Caenorhabditis elegans: one gene and its partner. The protein of the gene in region 2 purifies or fractionates together with the protein of the main gene of each other region. This does not show direct contact. Each region holds a gene or a part of one and is shown on either strand. Other genes may lie near its edges. The genes, in order: trp-1 and fnta-1.

The links.
Region 1: the proteins of fnta-1 (region 2) and trp-1 fractionate together in Caenorhabditis elegans (co-fractionation; one large-scale study listed by BioGRID). This does not show direct contact.

Annotation. Positions count from the first base shown.
Region 1 is NC_003281.10:8,534,017-8,541,922, forward strand, and holds the start of trp-1 (Transient receptor ion channel domain-containing protein), read left to right. Parts: upstream 1-1,903; coding exon 1,904-1,929; intron 1,930-2,330; coding exon 2,331-2,471; intron 2,472-2,803; coding exon 2,804-2,861; intron 2,862-2,908; coding exon 2,909-3,065; intron 3,066-3,114; coding exon 3,115-3,328; intron 3,329-3,384; coding exon 3,385-3,772; intron 3,773-3,878; coding exon 3,879-4,028; intron 4,029-4,072; coding exon 4,073-4,210; intron 4,211-4,292; coding exon 4,293-4,489; intron 4,490-4,533; coding exon 4,534-4,714; intron 4,715-4,967; coding exon 4,968-5,537; intron 5,538-5,707; coding exon 5,708-5,907; intron 5,908-7,701; coding exon 7,702-7,906. UniProt on the Caenorhabditis elegans protein: Could mediate calcium entry and form a calcium permeant channel.
Region 2 is NC_003282.8:236,871-241,833, forward strand, and holds fnta-1 (Protein farnesyltransferase/geranylgeranyltransferase type-1 subunit alpha), read right to left. Parts: upstream 3,438-4,963; 5' UTR 3,429-3,437; coding exon 3,305-3,428; intron 3,254-3,304; coding exon 2,749-3,253; intron 1,594-2,748; coding exon 1,350-1,593; intron 1,206-1,349; coding exon 1,092-1,205; 3' UTR 721-1,091; downstream 1-720. Other genes in the region: ints-13 (Protein asunder), read right to left, coding at 145-580; cogc-8 (Conserved oligomeric Golgi complex subunit 8), read left to right, coding at 3,719-3,782, 3,829-3,953, 4,004-4,174, 4,226-4,336, 4,386-4,589, 4,643-4,753, 4,837-4,955.

The DNA of each region.
Region 1 (7,906 bases), on a different chromosome or scaffold from region 2:
TTCTATTTTCAACGTCTTCAAACGAAAATCAAAAAGGGAGAAGAGGGTCCCCCGAAAAAAATTGGGGGCGGAGTCATGTTCGATATCACAAGTCTCTTTTTTTTTTCGTTTTGACAGGAAAACGAAGGCTCATCTCGTCAAATTCGGGGCGACATCTTCCTTTTCTTTTCCATCTGCTTCTTCTCCTTCTTTCTTCTGTTTTTCTTCTTTTCTCTTTTAGATCATTCTTCTTATTCAACCGCCGTGGTTCCTCTTTCTCCACTCTTCATCATCATCTTCACACTCACTGATTTTTTGAGCCATTCCCATCTACTCTTATCCACCCCCTTCGGGCATTTTTCACACACTTTCCTTCAGTCTTTCCACCTCTTTCCGTGTCTACTGGGTTAGAGAATTTCAAGCTTATGAACATCTTCTTCGAACAGTTTTAAATTGTGTGCCTGTTGTTTACTTGAATTTGTGTTCGGCTAATTCTTTTGAGTCGGGCTAAGTTCCTGTCTACCACCTATTTTTGCATTTACAATTAGAAGCAAACTCTGGAAATTGTTAATTTTTTTCTCGTGCTGTTTAAATGAAAAAAAAACGGATAGTTGATTTATTATTTTTTTCGAAGTTCAAGTAGGAGCATTTTCATTAGTTACACTGGAAATGCATTTTCAAGCTTAAAAGCAAAGTAATTATTATTGACAACTGTTTGATCAAAATTCATCCCATTCATCCCTCTATTTTGTAGAAAAAAGGTGAAAAATAGCTTGAGAAAAGGATCTCTGATTTATTGTAAACACCTTGTTGTCAAATCACAGACACTTTTTAAAAAAGAAAACATCTCAATTGACAACAGTTGTTTCAATGACCAAACTCCTCTTACTATCCAGACAAACAAATGTTCACAAAAAATACATTTTCCCTCCTGGTCATCCATAGCTCAAAGACCCCACCACGTGTCCCATGTTTTTGAACTTTCAGAAATGTCAGGTCCGTTGGGAAATCTTCCAAATATTTTCTCAGAGATTTGTAGACGTTCTTTCATTTGTTTGTCTTTCCGAGAAGCTGAAAACCTATTTGTATTATACATGTGTCTACTGCCTGAGCAATTTGATATTCGATATTCGCAATGACAAAAGAAGGGTAGGTAATTGGAGGCAACAGCTGATCCGTCTGTGGTTTATAGAAAAAATCTATCTGACATTTTTTGGAGTATCATCGGTGAGGTTTTTTATTGAAATACCCTCATAAAAGCCCATCATGATGAAATATTGAAGTTTTTAAATTTTTTAGTGGTTTCGAGACTTGCTTAAGGCCTACAAAGTTCATATATAAAAAGTAATATACAATGCCCCACCTAAGTTAAGGGATTAAATTGAGTTGGTATTTAAAAAATACAAAAGAGAAGCGCGGTGCGATCGACCTTTTTTGGCTGTAGTTTTAGTTTCTAAATAAAGGTTTTTTGTTCTGAAAAACCTTTCATATACAATTTTTTATTAGTATTATACTTGCAGTTTTCAAACTACCTATTACTGTCCTTCTCTATTTTGAATAATCCTAAAATTATTATTTCTCAACTCAGTCGTCCTCTCGTTTCTTCGTCGAAGTTTCCACATGTGTTTTCATTTTCCATTTAATTTCCCATGTCTCATCACTTCACAATCATCATCATCTGTTAGAAATTTGTCCTCACGGGATTTTGACACAACTATAAAAATTTCTTTCCTCTATCCTTTGACCGACTTTAAACATTTTTTTCGAAAAAAAATTGACGAAGAGGTTTTTGTTTAATTTCAATTTTTGTCTCTCAGATAAACTTGTAAATTTGTATAAGCTTTAAAAATGTTCAGCTTCTTCTATTCTTCTCACTAGGACTAGAAGAAGCTTCTATCAATTCGTGCCGACAACAACGAAGGGAATGATTGGAATGGAGGATGGCGTCCGGTGCGCATAACTTTTTAGAAGGAAATATAGACGAGACCCTCCACTTGAGTTAATAAGTTTTTCGAGTGCTCTATAACTTAAGAATCAGGGGGCTATGTTAAGCATTTGCGGGGGCTCTAGACTGAACTACGTAAGCGCGGGGTGTAATAGAGGGACCACAACAAAACGATTTTATCGGTTGTTTCTTTCCAATTTGCCCCAACAACTAGCCATCAAACGTTTAACAAGAAAGTTTGGCGGAAAAGCACAAACGATTCAATTTTATTAGGAGGAGCTTTTTTCCCTGCTTTCCACTCTATCAAAGTAGATTTTACTTCACTTTGCCAAAGTACAAACACACAAAAAAAAACTCTAGGGGCACCTTAAAGCAGGAAATGGAATAATTTTGTTTAAAATTGAAGGATGCTGTCGGCAGCAGGACGCCGATTCTCTCGATGTGCTCCATCGCCAAGGCCAAGGAGGAACTACGCTTTGGCGAATATCCCACCACCGGCTGCTGTTCACATTCGGACAAATGATATGATTAGTCCAGAAGAAAGAAGGTTTGTTGTTTTATAAAGTGTTGGGCACTTTTCCAGTAAAAACATTTCTCCGTACGTGTTTTCATCTTGAGCTTTTTCAGCATTTATATTAAAACTTACCATAGTTTAGCTATTGGTATTGCACCATAAGTAGTTTTGTTAGATATATTAATTGAACTAAAGACAATCTGCTACTCGTAGGGGCTTACCTTTAAGCTGCTCGAAACGACCTCAATATATTTATATATAATAAACAATAATAATGGGTTATTTTCGAGAAAAAGTCGTGTAAAAAGTTTAAAACACGCCCAATTATTACATGGTTACTACATATTGTCTAATAATCTGTTTAGGTTCCTCGAAGCTGCAGAACTTGGAAACAAGCCCACATTACAAGAATGCTTGGATTACGTGAGTTATTTCAAATCATTGTTTTTTTGAAATTAAAATTATTGAAGGACGGAGACCGCCGTCTCAACGTGAATTGCCTCGATTCAATGGGAAGAACAGCTTTGGAAATTGCAGTTGACAACGAAAATATGGAAGTTGTTGAACTTTTGCTCCAACAACCAGATATCAGAATTGGCAATGCACTGCTATGTGCAATCCGAGAAGGTCCGTAAACCACAGCATTTTTAAAAAATATTTTTTATAATTATTCCAGGTGTATATCGTCTTGTCGAAGTTCTTGTAAATCATCCGAATATTACTCGAGAAATGCTTGGAGACGGTTGGAGTCAAGCTCTTGATCCTTCCGAAGCTGCTAGTGCCGAATATTCAAGTGATATTTCTCCGGTTATATTGGCAGCACAACTCAACCAATTTGAGATTTTGCAAATGTTAATTCGAAAAGATGCAAGTATTGAAAAACCGCACAGGTATTTTTTAAAATACAAACAAATTTGGGGTCGAAATACCAATCCTAACATTTCAGACATTCCTGCATTTGCGAAACATGCGATCGTGAGCGTTTGAACGACTCATTACAGTACTCTCTAAAACGAATCAACACATTTCGAGCTCTTGCAAGCCCTGCATGGATGTCTCTTACAAGTCCCGATCCAATTCTATCCGCTTTCAAACTTTCATGGGATCTACAACGATTGGCATTTGAGGAGCATGAATTCAAAGAGACATATTTGCAACTTTCGGAGCAATGTAAACAATATTCATGTGATTTATTAAGTCAATGTCGAAGTTCTGAAGAAGTTATCGCAATTTTAAATAAGGATGGAAATGTGAATGATGATAATATTGATGTTTGGGCAAGTAAACTATCGCTTTCAAGGTTAAAACTGGCTATCAAATATGAACAAAAAGCTGTGAGTTATTTTTTTTGAAATTGTGCAACAAATAATTTATTATTTCAGCTCAACTAAATTCCCTGAACACATATTATTAAACTTAATCAAACTTATCAATTTTCAGTTTGTCTCTCATCCTCATTGTCAACAGTTGCTCACCTCTATCTGGTATGAAGGTATTCCATATCGGCAGCGGAGTGGTACCTGGGCTAATTTTTTCCTCTACGCTTTTCTACTTTTTCTCTGGCCAATATTCTGTCTCATGTATATTCTAGTGAGTATTTGAAAAATTTTCAATTTTGACAAAGATAATTTCAGATGCCAAAAAGCCGATTGGGTCGGTTAGTACGGTCTCCATTCATGAAATTCTTTTACTACTCGGTGTCGTTTGCAACGTTTTTAGGACTTTTAACGTGGGCCACTTTTGAAGATTATCGATACGAAAAAGGAGAAAGGGTTAGTTTTAAGAAATTTGGAACATTTCTGAAGTTGAAATTATTAACTCAAAAAAATTCTATATAGGAAATCATATTTCCAGGGTGGAATGACAAGAGCATCTGACCGTGGTCCACCAGCAACATGGGTTGAATCACTCGTATTCACATGGGTAATTGGAATGTTATGGTCAGAAATTAAGCAATTATGGGAAGAAGGTTTTAAACGATATATGAGACAATGGTGGAATTGGCTTGATTTCCTGATGATTTGCCTTTATTTATGCACCATTTCAATAAGGTATAATATATCAGAACTATACAAAATATAAAATTGATTTTCAGACTAAGCGCGTATTATATCTTTACATATCGTGAGGATCCATATCGGTACACAGTCCGCACATATTGGACATCTGAAGAACCAATGTTGGTAGCGGAGGCGTTGTTCGCTGTTGGAAATGTTTTTTCGTTTGCTCGAATTATTTACTTGTTCCAGACAAATCCGTATTTGGGGCCACTGCAGGTAAATAAATTTTGCATATAGCAATAAATAATTGACTTTGTGCAGAAGGGATAGTGTTGGGCAATACTCGGTTTAGACCGAGCCCCCAGCCAGCAAAGTTAAAAAGGTCAAATTTGGCCAGTTGGAGCAAACTGAAATAAAACTTGGACTCAGCCTAAACACAGTCTTGCACAAATTTTTCCACCTTTCAAGCCAAGTTATTTTGTGTTAAAACAAAAATGAGCCTCACTTTCAATTAAAAGACAATTTTCAGATATCCCTTGGATGTATGTTGGTGGACGTTGCAAAGTTCTGCTTCATCTTCGTCCTAATAATAAGTTCTTTCTCAATTGGCCTTGCTCAACTCTACTGGTACTATGATCCAAATACAGATGTATGCCTACCTGGTGCCACATGCAAACACAGTTCCAATGTATTCTCCTCGATTGCCGATTCCTATTTGACACTTCTCTGGTCTCTATTTTCGATTACAAAACCAGAAGATACCGATGTTGTGGAAAATCACAAAATAACTCAATGGGTTGGACAAGGAATGTTTATTATGTATCATTGTACTTCAATAATTGTCTTACTTAACATGCTCATTGCTATGATGTCTCATTCGTTTCAAATTATCAATGATCATGCGGATCTTGAATGGAAGTTTCATCGAACGAAGCTTTGGATGGCTCACTTCGATGAAGGATCAAGTCTTCCACCTCCATTTAATATTATAGTCACTCCGAAGTCATTAATATATGTGATGAATTGTCTATTCAACACTGTCAGATGGCTTCTAGGAAAGTACACTTATCAGAAAAACAGGAATCGGGCAACTATCAGGGTAAGATTTTCGAATTTTGAAAATGAAAACTGCCTCCACAACAAATTCGATGCAAAATTAATAGAAGCTGTGAAACCGAGGAAATACGGTCAATAATCTTCAAAGACGTTTACCAGAACTACCAAGAAAATATAAAGCATTCATCTTTACTTATTTTTCCCTTATTCCAGCGTCCTGGCTATTCTCGAAAAAGAAATGAAATGGAAAAATCTGGTGGTCACGACGATGATTCTTTGAAACCATTGACATATGCTGATATAATTACAAGACTTGTGGCAAGATTTATACATCAAACAAAGAAAGATATGAAAATGGACGGAGTTAATGAAGATGATCTACATGAAATCAAACAAGACATTAGTAGTTTGAGGTGAGCCATTTTAAAATTTTTATATGAAAAATTTCAAGATCCTACAATATCTTCGTTTCATCCAAATAGCAGTTGAAAATCTGCCAAGCAGCCTCTAATAAATGCCGAGTGTACAGACTCCGCCCCTTTTTCGCGTTTTTTCGCGTTTTTTTTGGCTTGCGAAAAAATGTCACACTACGTTTTCATTCACAACTCCTGAACCGTGTGACTTCATGCTCTAATATTTGAAATCCTACTAGAAATATTTTGCCCCACGGTGGAGCAGAAAACGGCACTAAGTTCGGAGCAAAATTGAGCCCAGGGCGGCTTTCCCCAGTTTGAAAAAATTTTTTGTTGCTCTTTTTACCCCCAAAAAAGCATGTTTTAATTGAATTAAAATTCGGGTTTTGCTCGGTTTTGTTTCAAATTTATGTGCAAGATACTACTCAGAGAGACTGATTTTTTGAAAAAAAGTTTGAGTTTATAAGTGCAAAAGGAAAAAAGTTGTGATAAAACAAAAGGCCAAAAAATGACATTTTGCCAAAAAAAAATTTTTTTCCGAAAAAGTAGTTTTTCGTCTTTATCTCAAGTTCTACTTCATCTTTTTCGATACTTTTTTTTCTACCCCACGTAAAAAAGTACGCTGAACACGATTTTCAACTCAGAATTAAGAAAAGTTTTATGAGTCGGCCGAGCAAGACGAATAAGTGCCACATTTTGCACACTTTCCCATTTTCGCGAATCTACTTTTTCAATCATAACTCGGTCAGTTTTCAAGTTTTCTTAGTTTTCCAAAAATTGACGTGTAGGTCTCATCAAGACGCATCGAGACATATAAAATGTGTAAAAAGTTCAGTGGGAAAGTTTTTCAAGAAAACAATAATTCAAAAATTTAGTATTGGGGGGAGTGGTTTCCTGGGTCTCCTGAACATTTTTTCCACTAAAGTTTTGCGGAATGTATTTTTGATTCATAGTTTTTGATTTTATTTAATGGAAGATGAAGTTTCGTCGCATTAGAAATACTCTGCCAAGAGATATTATTTTTATTAATTTTCAGGCCAAAACTTGTTTTTTTCTACAAATCGACCGGTTTACGAGGTATAGCCCTCAACTGTACGTCTCCTTTTTGGGAAATCAATAATGAGTACAATCCTGTAATAAAATTTTCAAAAATTCGTTTTCCCGCTGACATATCAGTAATAAACGGTTTTCGAACGTCTTCCCCAAATAGTAATAATTGAAGAAAGCGGAATCGAAAGACGACTTCCTCCAGAAAATTTTCTTCCCTACATCCCAGTTTGAGGTGTCTCCTGCATGGTCGAGTGGTTAGTGCGAATGACTGCAGAAATTTTGGTAGTTGGTTCAATTCTACCAAGTGATAAATTTTTTTGTTTTTTTGTGAGTAATCGGGATTCGAATAGAAATACTCGATTTCATACAAAATATGGGTACGTCTCCCCTAATATAAAGCCTCCTCAAACTTCAATCAATCAAAACTCAGCTTTAACTGATTCATCGGGTGCATCTGTTTTTGGTCAAACCGAACTCAAAAATCAATAAGACTCCCACCTACTGAAATTTTCACGAACCCTCTAACAGGTTCGAGGCGAAGCCGAGAGCCTACGCCCGGCAAGGGGACTCGCCTTACACCCCCTACAACCGGCGGGCCCGCAGGGCCCGCTAGTCTGAAAATCTAGAAATACAGAAAAGTTTTGGTTTTTAGGTAAAAACGATTCTGTATTTTTAGATTATCAGATTAAATATCCAGCTTTTTCCTGCTCAAAAAATTATCATAATTTAATTAATACGTTAAAGATACGAACTCCGAGATGATCGTCGTCGTGAAATCGTTCGCAGCTCATCACATATTGATGCAGTGAAACGAGATATTATGCGTACAATGAGTACAACATCACGTCGACCTTACGGTGGAAGTATGCGTCTTCCAAAGACACGACCATCAGTTGCAGAAGAATCAGAAGAAGATGATAAAAGTGATGAAACAAGTTCAACAGACGAG
Region 2 (4,963 bases):
TTCGATAGTTTTTCTACGTAAAAAAGGCTTGAAAACCATAGATTTCGTGTAAAACTAGTGTAAAACCTTTTTTTTAAAGATTTCCAGATGATCATAATTACGATTTTGGATAAAATAATTAATGTTTCAAAAGGAAATACTCACTTGCACTATATCGTACATCATAATTATAATTTCTCTGTTCAGGCGACTGCACAGCCAACGCTTCAATGGCCATAGTCAATCCACCAATTGGTGTAATATCAGTATTAGCCTCACTCGGGCGGCTCACAGTCTCAATGAGTTCTCCGAGCTCTTCTCGAGTCAAAAATCCGTCCGTCCACTGCGTATCCAACATCTTTCCCATGAAGTCCGCCAGGGCAAATCGAAGCTGTAGAGTGCCACGTGGATAGACGTCACTCAGAATTCTGTGCATTTCGAAGATTCCCTCAAGGCACCACGTCCAAATGGTTTTTTCGAATTGAAGTTTCTTCTGTTTTGGGCCTTCTCGAATTGTGACATCGAACGTTTCGTTACAGTTTTCCACGAATTTCGCGCTCCGATCCAGCAGAAAAACGGTTTTCATATCCCGTTGTTCCATCTTAATAATTTTATTTTTAAGAAATTTAGAATCGATTTTTTTTGAAGAATAAACAACGCTTTTCCCGAGAAAAATTAAATTCTGTCAGGGGTTCTTGTATCATCGAAATTTAAATTTGGAAAAGAAGAATAAATTTTTAATATTTCTCTCAGAAACAAAGAAAACTGGTAGCCGAAATGATGAATAAACAGTTGATTTCGAAATATTTCAATTATTTGCAATAATTCAAGAAAAAAAATTCAAAATCTACAGTACTCCAAACTTAAAGGCGCATGAAAGATATCGGAGTGCCGCTGTGCCTCGGAAATTTCCATTTTCTCTTGCCTTTCAACTAAAAAACGTGACAAAAGGTATAAAAATTAAGAATAAACTATAAAAAAAGCATCATTGAATAATAATTTAAAAAAAAATTTTTTAAATAAATAAGTAGGACGGCAAATTGTGGGAAATCATTGGGATATACTTACACAAAAACATATAAATACAAAAAAAACGTGGAATTCAGAAAGAATTACTTGGCAGTGACCTTCGTCTGTGCCTTGATGAGCATCGTTTGAGCAAGAAGACTCTGATGGCGGTAGTAGTTGACTCGAACCGGGTCGATCGATTGAAGATCCTTGTAGAGCTGGAAATTTCGGGAATTTGAGGCGTTTAGAGCGCAAATTCATTTAAAGCGAAAATGTGCACTTTTAATTAAAAAAAAGGAAATTTTTAGTTAAAAATTCTCCAATGTTATCCCATTTCTCATGAACTTTCTAGACTTACAAACCTTTTTAGCGCGCCCAGCGCTTTCTTCCGCAGACTTTTGGTTTTCAATATTTTCGAGCATCATATCGGCGATAAATGCAAGAAGGAATGGTGACCGTTTCTCTTCAGGAGTTGTCTCATACAAATCCTCCACAAAACTGACAACATCACTGTTCGAGGTTACTCCATTTGTGATGAGAAGCCCTGCGAGGTAGTTCCAGGCACTTTCGTTGTTCGGAATATTCTCAATGAACTTCTTGGCGAGGCTAGAAAAATTGAGAGGTTTTGTGTTCAAGTTTAATGGAAGATGTGCAACAACTATTTAGCCTCAAACAAACTCTTAGCCTCAACCAAACTCTTACAAGGAAAGGAAGTCAATCTATCTATGCTCCAGTGCATTTTTTCGCTGACTTCTATATCAAGTAAATGGCCTCAAAAGGGGTTCTGAGAGATTAGAAATTGTTTTTGGGGGTTTTTAGGGTCTAACAAACAATGTGGGAGCTTTTTGGAAATTTTTATTTTTTTGAAAAAAATCTGAAATTTTTTCGATCCATTGGACACCAAATTTTTGGTCAAAAATTTTTTTTTTTGAAAAAATTCCAAAACTATTTTTTTGTATCCGGGCATGCAAAAAGCTACATATTTCTTCGAATTGAGCCTTTTTACAATTTTTTACAATTTTTTACAAAGGGCCCGATTGCAGTTTTTAAAAGTTGAAGAAAAAAATTATTTCCACTGAAAGAATCGAACACGAGACCTTTATTTTATTATTCCAAGCGTTTACCATTCGGCCATCAACCGTTGTTTTTTATTGTTTTCCATGTTTGTAACCATTTCATAATGATTGAAAATCATTTTTTGTATAAGTAAAATGAATAAGTACGAAATAGTATTGAAAACTAGGAGGGCGCAGAGAAAAATTTTCAGATGGCGATTTCAGGGGTTCAGAGTTGAGTTCCGCCGCTGAAATTTTTGTGGTGATCTAGTCTAAACATAAGCTTTCAAATGACATACGTCTCAATTTAAAGTCCGATACTAGATTGACTTCCTTTCCTTGTTAGCCTCAACCAAACTCTTCAGCCTCAACCAAATTCTTAGCCTCAACCAAACGCTTAGCCTCAACCAAATTCTTAGCCTCAACCAAACTCTTAGCCTCAACCAAACTCTTAGCCTCACCCAAACTCTTCAGCCTCAACCAAAAATTTTTACTTTCAAAGTTATCTTCATGTTTGATTAATCAAATATTTGGACAGTTTTCAATTTTTAGGTAGTTTTCATCACTAAAAATCAGAAATTGAGAAGAATATTCTGGAATTTTCGGAGATTTTTAGTTTCTGAATCGCTTTCTACATCAGATAGATGTTTCTCCACTAAAAACGCTAATCGTGAACAAAAAATTGATCGCTGTTATATTTCCTTACTTGATCTCAATGTCAAGCTGGCTCGCATCCTCCGTCTTATCGTAGAGAGTCATCAGAAAATAGCGATAATTATACGCCGAATTGTTGCGATTATCGAGAAGAAGCATGTGAAGAGCAAATGTGAGCTCTTTCTCCAGTGGAACCTTGAAAGTCCGTACAACCCATTGACGGTGCTGCCACGCGTGATAGTTTTTGTTCTCGTCGCGGATGACTTCCGAGCAAAAATGAAGCTCATCGTTCACCGCACTTTCTCCAATCGTTTCGACGATGAAGCGACGGTGATGCCAGACTTGATAGTTTTTCGGTGATTCTTGAATAATATCGCTGAGATACCGCATCTCCTTCTTCAAATCCCATCCCAACTCGGTGAGACACACGCGGCGATACTGCCAAACTGTGTAATTCGCTGGATTAAGTCTAATGCAATCCTCGAGAAGTGCCATCACTCGATCCGACTTCTCGTTTTTTATTAGAATTGCACGGAAGTAGGCGAAAGCATCGGTGACTGCAAAATTAAAATTTGAATAATTATTAATTTGATCTCAAAATTTCTTACAGTCTTCCGTAACAGCGATCTTAACAGCAACTTCTTCCTCCTTACTCGGGTAGATCGGCGTAATATCCTTCCAATCTACGTTATCTTTGTAGAGAGTTGAAGATGGAATATCGCTGTCCGACATTTTCTCCGCCTGCAAGCTTATTTTTCGTTAATATTGGATTTTGAAGGGGAAAACATTAAATTTTGAATTTTTTCTAAATATTTTTCAATAAAAATTGAGCTGGAAACTGGAAAAAACGTCTTAAATGCTCGAACAACTCGGAAAAGAAAAAAAATGGATTTAAAGTTAAACGGTGCAAAGTGTCGTAATTTCCTGCGCACTCTCCGCAAACACTCCGGCTCTCATGTGGATTTACGGGCAGCCAACGCGATTTCTTTCTTATCGCCGATTTGCCTTTACTGTAGGAAATCATGGATTCTGATTATATATTTCATAATGGAGATGATATTCGCAATATGGGACTTGAAGAAATGCGTAAGTAATCTGCAATAATGTGAAAATTCATCGAAAAATCGTTCAGGACGTCAAAAGGTGCTGCTGGCCAGCGAGCTGAAGGCGATTGACGCCCAGATTAGTGATTTAGCATTCAATAATTATGGAACATATGCAGACGCTGGAAGAGCCACTCACGATTGCTCGAAAACTGTAATTTCACGAAAAAATCTATTTAAAGTCTAAACCCTAAATAATTTCAGTTCGGAGAAATGCGCGATAAAACTGTAAATCTGTCGGATCAAGCAGAGGAGTTGACTTCTGCGTTTGTAGAGTTTAGAGCAAAAGCTAAACAGCTTTCTGAAGAGCAGGATCTTGTCAGAAAAGCACTGGACAAGTCAAATCCGATCTGGGAGCTTTTGACGCTACCCTCGGTAATTCTACATCTACTTTTCTTTTTTCTTTGTAATTTTAAAACATTTTAGCGCATGGACATTTGCATTCGTGCAGGATACTATGATCTGGCTTACACATTGACCAATTATGGCTTGCAACTTCAACAACAGACTCAACTCTACCGGAATCCGCTGATAAAAGTCTGAAATCCCCAGGAAAACCTGTTAAAAACGTAAAAAATAATTCTAGAAAGTCGCGGACCACCTAGTCGAAGCTCGTGCTTATCTTTTGGAGGAACTTTTCAACAAATTCGCTGGGCCACTGGATCTTGCAGAATCCATCAAAGTTGTGAATAACGTTCGAAAGATGCCCTCATTGACAGCGAATCAGCTGAGAATCGCCGTTCTTCAGCACCGGGATATTTATCTGGAAAAACAGATTTTAGATATTTCAGTGAGAAATGCCAATCACAACATATTTAATACAATTTATTTCGTTTTTTTCAGGGAAATGTTGACATGATTGTGCAGGCGATCGAGATCTACCGTACCAGTATGTACGACACTCTCGTGCTTTATCTTGCAGTGTTTCCGGAAAACGAAGTTGTTCGAAAAAATGTAAGGGAATCAAATCGAAAAAATTTTGAGCAAAAAACAATAGCCAAGAATAATAAAACAATTTTATTTCACTTTTTTTTCAGCCGAATGCTGATCCGAGATGGGAATCATGGCCAGTTCTGCCACCAAACTCGATTCTGTCACAATGGGTTATTTCGAATGTCAAGAAAATGTTGGATCTTATCACAAAGGCGGATGTTAAGTGAGGAT